2 linked regions of the Macaca mulatta genome follow. The protein of the gene in region 1 purifies or fractionates together with the protein of each later gene. This does not show direct contact. Links are inferred from orthologs where the notes say so. Each region holds a gene or a part of one and is shown on either strand. Other genes may lie near its edges.

Region 1 (4,222 bases):
CCCATAAGAGTCCTGGAAACTTATTTTTACTGTTACGGAAACAGATTTAGAGGGGGGAGGGCTGCTCCAAAGTCCTCCTCGAAATTGGTGCCAACGGCAGCAGCTATAATGACAGCCAGTTCACATAGAAGTGCCTCTGTTGATCACCAATTAACAGTAAAATCTGATAATATCTCATTCCAAGGTTGTCATAAGCACTAAATGTGGTTTTGTGACATAATAGGCATTTGTTTCTCCCCATTGCTTCCCACCACAATATATTCATCAAGACTTTTCCAAGGATACTAAGTCTAGGAAACCCAGGATCATGAAGACAGGACATGCTCTTCCAAATGAGGCTGAGGAGAGACTTGTCTGGCGAGGCCTGTACTGACTAGTGACATTAAAAGAGGCGATCTGACTTCTCATACTGCGCTTGTCCCAGGCCCGCTGTTTGTCAACTGCTGGGTCCTCAGAGCCAAAACTGTTTTCCAACAGTTTTGAATTGAATAACAGCCAGTTATTCAATTTTCTCCACATTCTCTAATCGGTATACTCTTCAGAGTCCAAGGGACTTGCAACGATATTACCCAATGGCTGAAGAATGTGCGCTTGACATCTTAGGCTGTAAAATGTCTCAATTTCAATTTCTAAAACATAAATGTCAGTGGATGGCATTTTCTGAATCCCTTGTCGATGTCCGTAAATGGCATGCTCTGAATTCAACTAAACAAAAGTATGGGTTGGGGGGAGATGTAGGGGCATGTCCAAATTATAATTTTTAAGAGTGTAAAGGGGTCCTGAGAAAGATTGCCAGATTTTTTTTTTCTTGAGTTAGAGTCTCACTCTATCCCCCAGGCTGAAGTGCAATGGCATGATCTTGGCTCACTGCAGGCTCTACCTCCCGCACTCAAGAGATTCTTCTGCCGCAGCCTCCAGAGTAGCTGGGATTACCCCGGAGCCCGCCACTACTGAGCCTGGCTAACTTTTGTATTTTTAGTAGAGAAGGGGTTTCACCATGTTGGCCAGGCTGATTTCGAACTCCTGAGCTCAAGTAATCCGCCAGCCTTGGTCTCCCAAAGTGCTGGGATTGCAAGCGTGAGCCACCACGCCAGACCTGGATTGCCAGATTTAGCACATAAAAATACAGGACTCCCAGTTAAACTCCTCTCAGATAAACCATTATTGCATGAAATACACTCACGCTAAAAACAATTGTTCGTCGTTTACCTGAAAGTCACATTTCATTGGGCGTCCTGCATTTTACCCCGCAAATTCTAGGCCTGACACCAAAAAGTTTGAGAACCGCGCCCCTAGGCGACAGCAAGCGGAACTACCGCAAGCTCCCAGTAATTCCGGGTGCTGCACTTCCGGTCAGGCGGTCGGGCTGCGCGGCCCTGGGGCCAGCTCACCGCCGGAAGCCTCCGCGTCCCCGCCGGCCATATCCCGTTCCCGGTCCTGCTTCCCAGTGCCTCGGGCCTCCCGGGGCTGGTGCTGGGCGCCGAGCCGGCGGAACCGGCGGAACCCGCTTCCCGCCTCCACGCGGCAGCGCTAGCGGCCTAGTCCCTTCACGGGCAGCTCGGTGCTGTCGCCCTCACCGCTCTTCCTATCGCCGGGAGTGGTGGGCCGACCAGGGGGCGGCCGGGCTAGCGTCCGCCATTCCCGTGTCTCTGCGCCCGCGGGGGCCGCCCGAGCCGGCCACCATGCCGCTGGGCCTGAAGCCCACCTGCAGCGTATGCAAGACCACGTCGTCCTCCATGTGGAAGAAGGGCACGCAGGGGGAGATCCTCTGCCATCATTGCACTGGCCGGGGCGGCGCGGGCAGCGGGGGCGCAGGCTCGGGGGCGGCTGGAGGGACTGGGGGCAGCAGCGGCGGTGGCGGCGGCTTCGGCGCGGCGACCTTCGCCAGCACCTCCGCCACTCCTCCGCAGAGCAACGGGGGCGGGGGCGGCAAGCAGGTGAGCTCCTCCGGCCCCTCCCGCCGGCGGAGGCCGACCGGGCGCTAGGCGGCAGGGGCCGGGCGGGTTGGGAGCGGGCGGGCCCGGGCTTCCCGGCTCGCGTGGTCCTGCCGGCTGGAACGCCCCTCCCCACCTCCTACTGAGATCTTTGGTTTGACCCATTCCAAAGCACCTGTTATAAGAAATTCAAAGCAATAAGAACCAAAATGTAAAGCCCTTAAGAAAATCTCAATATGCACACGTCTACACAGTCGTAAACAGGGTCATGCCACAAGTGCAGGTGCTGGACCTCATTGCTTGTTAAAGGTTTTGTCATATCAGGTTATGAAGTAAGATTATTATGTCATTATTGTAAATGGCAGCTTAAGTATTCAGTTGTAGGAGGCGCCATAACCTAATACGTTATCTGGCCTTAGGGAGTAAAGTTGTTAAGTGTTTTTCTCTATTGTAGACACAACAAATGAATAGTGTTTGTCTTGGCCCAGACTGACTCTTACTTCCGCCTCCTGACCTATTACAAGCAGCTCACACCTTTTGGAGGCTCTGGAGACGCCTGTCCAGCGAGCTCCGAGATTCCGGTGCTGAACTTCCGGTTTTACTTAGCCCAGTTGCTGAAATTACCTCTGTTGAAAAGCAAAGGCGCACTCTTAATTGTTAAATACTCCTATAAAGTACATACTCTGGGATCCTTGTAAGATGATTGTATTGCAACCTTTATACACTTTTTACTTCTTTCTCTGTTCTTTAATTTGTTTGTGTAACAGAGTAAGCAGGAAATTCACAGGAGGTCTGCTCGGCTCAGAAACACTAAATACAAATCTGCTCCGGCTGCTGAGAAGAAAGTTTCCACCAAAGGAAAAGGGAGAAGACATATATTTAAATTGAAAAATGTAAGATATTTGTGGACAGTGCCTTTTACTGTAATGATGTTGTGTGTATCCTGCCACTGCCTTCATTTCCCGCCATTGAACTTGGACTCTGCCCTTGGTAGCCCTTCCTTAGTATTCTGGGGAGTGGTCCAGACTCCCCAAAAGGGAATGAGCTCTGTTGCAGGAGGCTCACTATTTTTAAAGGTAATAATACTCTTTCCTTTTTTTTTTTTTTTTTTTTAGCTTTTATTTTTTTCCCCTGGAAAATATAAAATATGAGTTTAAAAGAAACATCAGCCTTGAGCCCATTTTTTGGGGTTCTCTATGGAAAGGAAGAGGAGAGATTATGGTTCTTGATATGGCCAGGTACACTAAGAAAACTTTTTTTTCATTCTTTAAAAATTAAGTAAATATTAACACTAGAACTCATCATTTGCATATTTATTTATTATTAAAGCCCCAGAAAATGTATCTTATTGACTTATGATGATGATGTATTTGATGAATATGAGTCAAAAATTCTGCTAAGCCTTATCTCTTCTACTCTAAGAAAAGACATTGTTGAAAGACCTGTGCTGGAAATAATTGAAAGCATATTTTTATTGCAATTAAATTATCAGTTTTTATAAACAAGGGATAATGTTCAAACACAATGGACAGTGCATTATGGACTATTTTTTTAAGTCTCAGTATGGTATTCTTTTCTTTCAGAACAGGAATGTTTCACTTACCCGTAAAGACATTTTTGAAGTCGGGCATATTTATTTCTGAAACACAAAGGGACCCTGCAGTAGACTTATGCAGATGGCAGACTATTTTCTTTTTTTTTTTTTTTTTTAATTTAATTTAATTTAATTAATTTTTTAAAATTTTACTTTAAATTCTGGGATACATGTGCAGAACGTGCAGGTTTGTTACATAGGTATACATGTGCCATGGTGGTTTGCTGCACCTGTCAACCCATCATCTAGGTTTTAAGGCCCATGTGCATTAGATATTTGTCCTAATGCTCTCCCTCCCCTTGCCCCCCATCTCCGATGGGCCCCAGTGTGTGATGTTCCCTTCCCCAAAGTATTTTCTTTTTCAGAGTAGTTGCTTCTAATTTATTTAAGATTTTTATAATTTAGTTAAGCAAGGCATTTGTTGATTATGCAAAATATCTTATTGGTATTTGTATCACATATGCACATTTTTTTTCCTTTTAAGTATAGTATACCATGTTCTCAGCAATTAATTCATTATCGTTTGTCTGCAACCCTTTCTTCAATGTTACTAAGCAAGACACATCTGGGGAGGCCTACTTTCTATGTTGTGGCATAAAAGTATGTATTGAAGCTTTAGTAGGGATTTCAAAAATGGTTGGATGGTAGCAAATTACTAAGAACTGTCAAAGTTTCTAAAGCCTTAGTTCCAGCT
Region 2 (4,075 bases), on another chromosome or scaffold:
GGTATTATCTTGTTTAAGAACTGAGGCCAGAAGGGAGGCACTTACCCAAGATTCTGTAATCAGGGAAGGTTCTGCAATCAGGATCAGACCTCCTGATCCTCACTATACAGCAAACTTAGCTTTTCTGATGGTGACCTAGAAGGTCAAACAAAAGGACAGGAAAGGACATAAAATAAAAAGATATGAGATATGGCTTTCTTCTACATCAGCCAATGCAATTTCATCACACACAAAGGACACCAAAGCTGATAAATAATGTACAAGTATTTCTTTTTCCTTTCTTGTGGCTACATTTTCAAATTTAACTTATTGTATATTTATATAATTTCTGACAATTTTTTTAACTTTTCCTTAAAGATAATTTCAAATGGATGAAATAAAAGAATAGTATTACAAACCTACACGAATCCATCATCCAGCTTTCAACAATTACCAACTGAAGGCCATCTTGTTTCATCTATAACCCCACCCACTGCTCCCCCCCACCCCCGACTTTTTCAAGCTCACGGGAATATCTGACTTCTGTATTTTATTATACAAAAATTTAAACGTATACCAAGGAAAGCAGATTAATATACGGAACCCACTGCCTATCACTCAGCAAAAACTATTATTAATTTAGGGTCAATTTTGTTTCATCTATACCCCTCCCCATTTCCCCCTACCGCTTAGATTATTTTGAAGCAAATCCTAGTCATTAATGTATTTAGAAGCCAATCCCAGACATTATATTATTTAATCCGTAAATATTTTCGTATATGTCTCTACAAAAAAGGACAATTTGAAAACATAATCACAATACTACTGTGACGCCTAAAAAAATTGACATCAATTCCTTAAAAAACATCAAATATCGAATCCATGTTCCAATTTTCCCGATGCGTCTTAAACATATTTTTACAGTTGGTGTGTTCGATTCAGGATCCAAACAAGGCCTACTCATCGCATGTGGTTCATCTCCAGCTCGCTCTCGTTCTCCATCTCTTTCTTTCTCGCACTCCACCCCCCCACCTTTTATTTAACTTTTCAACATGGGAAAATTACAATCTCTGCAATTTTGAGGCAATTCCCAAAGAGCAAATTATTTCATTGGTAAAAATTGATATATCTCTTTTATCTTTAATTTATTCTAGGAAAGAAGTTGATGGCAGAAAGGGCACTACAATTAGCGAATTTATATAATTTATAATTTTTCTCATTCTATTACGTGTATTATTTATCTCCATAACAATAGCTAATATCTTCAGGGGCCAGGCTTCATATTACGTGCCTTATACGCACCATTATACAGTACACGTCTCTGAGGTAGATACTATTATTATCACCATTTTACAAACATGGAAACCGAGACACAGAAAGAACAGGAGCCTTGCCCAAGCTGGGCGTTGGCGAGCAGGAATCTGAATCCAGCTCTGACCGATTGTGAAGGAACTAGCTAATCCCGTCTATACCCGACGAAAAGAGGAAATCATCGACCCTTTCTCCCCACCCCCACCCCGAAACCTGAAACGAGAATCCAGATCTTCCCAGCAGACGACGTGTGATCACTGCCGTTCCTCCAACCGCCATAGTAAAGCCAGGTTTCTCTGGCAACTGATATCCATAGGCAGACACGTCACCCTGGAGGAGGGCGTATGCCCTTCAGCCAATCACAATCGTCTTGTCTAAGTTTTAGAATGTTCCATAACCAAATGATTGGACAACCACCCCCACGTCAGCAATGACACTTCGCCGCAGTAAAGGCGGGTGCTAGCAACCTGCTTCTTCACTGTTAAGGCCTACAGCAAACCAATCCTCTTCCTCCGTCAGTGCGAGTTCCGGCCAATGACGTTCGCCCTCTTAGGTTTTTAGCCCGCCCTCCAAAAGCGTGACAGCCGTTGGGTCATAAGTCTATAGGGCAGAATGTTCACGTGGCCTATTTCACGACCCAGAGTTCCTCTGACCAGAAGGTTTTTTTTTTTTTCCTTTTCCTTTTTTTTTTTTTTTTAATTTTTTTCCTGCAGGGAGGCATTATGGGTTTGTGTTTCCCCCCAGCCCCCCACTGGGAGAGGAAGTGTCTACGTGGCCTGCGGAAATAGGCGGAAATGAGCTAAGGTTCCCGCGAGTGGGGAAGCGCGAGGTCAAATCTGGAGCCACGCCCCCAGGCCTGTGGCGCAACTCCCCGAACATGGAAAAAAAAGGCGCAGTGGGGGGTTCTGCTGTGTTTGCGAGTTAGGGTCGTGAGTGCAACGGGCGCAAGGCATTAAGGCCAGTGTGTTAGTGCGCGGGCAGGCTCGAGTGCCCCTGGGGTTGCTGTGTGAGCGGCCCTCGTGGCGCTGGAGGTGATGTGTTTGCGCAGGCGTGCGCCCCTGGCGTCTGGACTGGTGAGAGCCACGGCGCGCGCCCGCGTGCGTGATTGGGGTGGGAGTTGCGGGGAGGGGTTAGCTACTGCGCGCAGGTTATCTATTTCTGTATTTTGTTTGAAAATGTTCTAATGAAAATGAAAATAAATAATTAAGGCAAGGCGACAATAACAGAGATAAAGGGGCACTGTCAGAAATATTTTGGCTTTCCCTGATTTAAATACTCCTCTGTGCCAAAATCCGGTCGTAAACCACAGCCCTCCAATGATTCAGAGCCAAAGCCTTCCATCGTCACATTAGCAACTCCAAAGGGAGACTTCTTTCAAGTTGTCTAGTATCCTCCTCCCTCCCCTCTTCCACACCTCCCCCCTCCCTTCAAGGTTGCGTGCAGTTCTCTTGGCACAAATACAATTTTCCTATGAGAATATCTATCTATGACAGCCTTCCCCTCCGTTAGAGACTCCGGATTTTTATGGTGACTAGGGCGCTCTTACCTTTGCGTCCTGATCTCCAAGCAAGCACACTGACCTTCTTCAGGCAAATACGCACTGTTAATTTTCCAGAAAGTTCTGTGGGTAAGGTTTATACCTCTCGAGTTCGCCACTAGATGCCGCCAAATCCCAGCAAAGGATTGGCTGTGTGGTCCCTGGGATTCTGGGATTTTGTTTCCCTCCCCCCTCCCCTTTCTTGATTTGCTGAACGCTAATATCTAAGGCATCATTGATATCGTTCATTCCTAGGAAAAAATAAAATCAGCTTCTGTGAATAGCACTAGTAGTCAGGGAACTGTGACCCAAGATCCAAATAATTTTACTCATTTCTTTCCTTTTCTCCTTGGGTGGGGGGGCGGGGGGGAAGGCCCCTCTCCATCCCTCGCTTCTTTTGTCCTTGCCTTGTTTAATCAAAGAGTTAATGAATGACCCAAGCACTGATGCTGAAGATCCTAACCCTTTTTCCTCACCTTTTCAAATGCTCGCAACTCACCCAAACTGAAAATACAGATAGCTGTTACTTTAGTAAAGAGATAAGAACTCATCAGTAAAACTTGGACCCTGGTATTGAAAACTGATTTTCCTTTTCTCTTGAAATTTGTATCAGATATGTGTGTTTGCACCCTATTTTCTGTAGTGGTATTGATAGACTTTATTGTGTCTTTGGAGTAAGAGAAAGAGACTTAATTGTTAACCTCATTCCACCACTTACTAGTCTCAGTACCCTGGGCAAATGATTTATGTTCTGTGATCCTCAGTTTTTTGTATGCTTTCTATATTTTAGATGCTGTGTTATATCCTTCATGTCGATTTTTTTTTTAATTTATCACCAAGTCCTTATTAGATGAGCAGTACTAGATCAAAGTCAAACAACAAAAATCATACCCCTTTCAATTATCTATCTTATATACTTGTACACAAGAGGGATTTTTTTAGAGCAGTGGTTCACAAGATGTGTTTCCTGGATGTACCAGAAACATCAGCATCACCTGAAAAATTGTCAGAAATTCACATTCTCAGGTCCCACCTCAAACTTAATGAATCAGAAGTTCTCACGGTGGGGTTTGGTAATCTGTGTTATTACAAACTATCCCAGTGATTCCAGCACACACTGAAGTTTGAGAACCACTGCTTTGGAGAGTAGAAATGCAATGCATATTTTTGTATACACCACTAGAGGGTGCTACAGAATGTAAAGCAAAATAATAAATGATGCACAGTATATGTTTTCACACACCATCC

The links. The genes of interacting proteins can lie anywhere in the genome.
Region 2: the proteins of GATAD1 (region 1) and MORF4L2 purify together in Homo sapiens (affinity purification with mass spectrometry; 4 studies listed by BioGRID and IntAct, with this or other methods). This does not show direct contact. The link is inferred for Macaca mulatta from reciprocal best matches to the Homo sapiens genes GATAD1 and MORF4L2.

What each region holds. Positions count from the first base shown.
Region 1 is NC_133408.1:126,936,081-126,940,302, reverse strand, and holds the start of GATAD1 (GATA zinc finger domain-containing protein 1), read left to right. Parts: upstream 1-1,412; 5' UTR 1,413-1,682; coding exon 1,683-1,937; intron 1,938-2,701; coding exon 2,702-2,827; intron 2,828-4,222. UniProt on the Homo sapiens protein: Component of some chromatin complex recruited to chromatin sites methylated 'Lys-4' of histone H3 (H3K4me), with a preference for trimethylated form (H3K4me3).
Region 2 is NC_133426.1:110,318,599-110,322,673, forward strand, and holds the start of MORF4L2 (mortality factor 4-like protein 2), read right to left. Parts: upstream 2,902-4,075; 5' UTR 2,837-2,901; intron 1,573-2,836; exon of another isoform or gene 1,496-1,572; intron 136-1,495; 5' UTR 46-135; intron 1-45. UniProt on the Homo sapiens protein: Component of the NuA4 histone acetyltransferase complex which is involved in transcriptional activation of select genes principally by acetylation of nucleosomal histone H4 and H2A.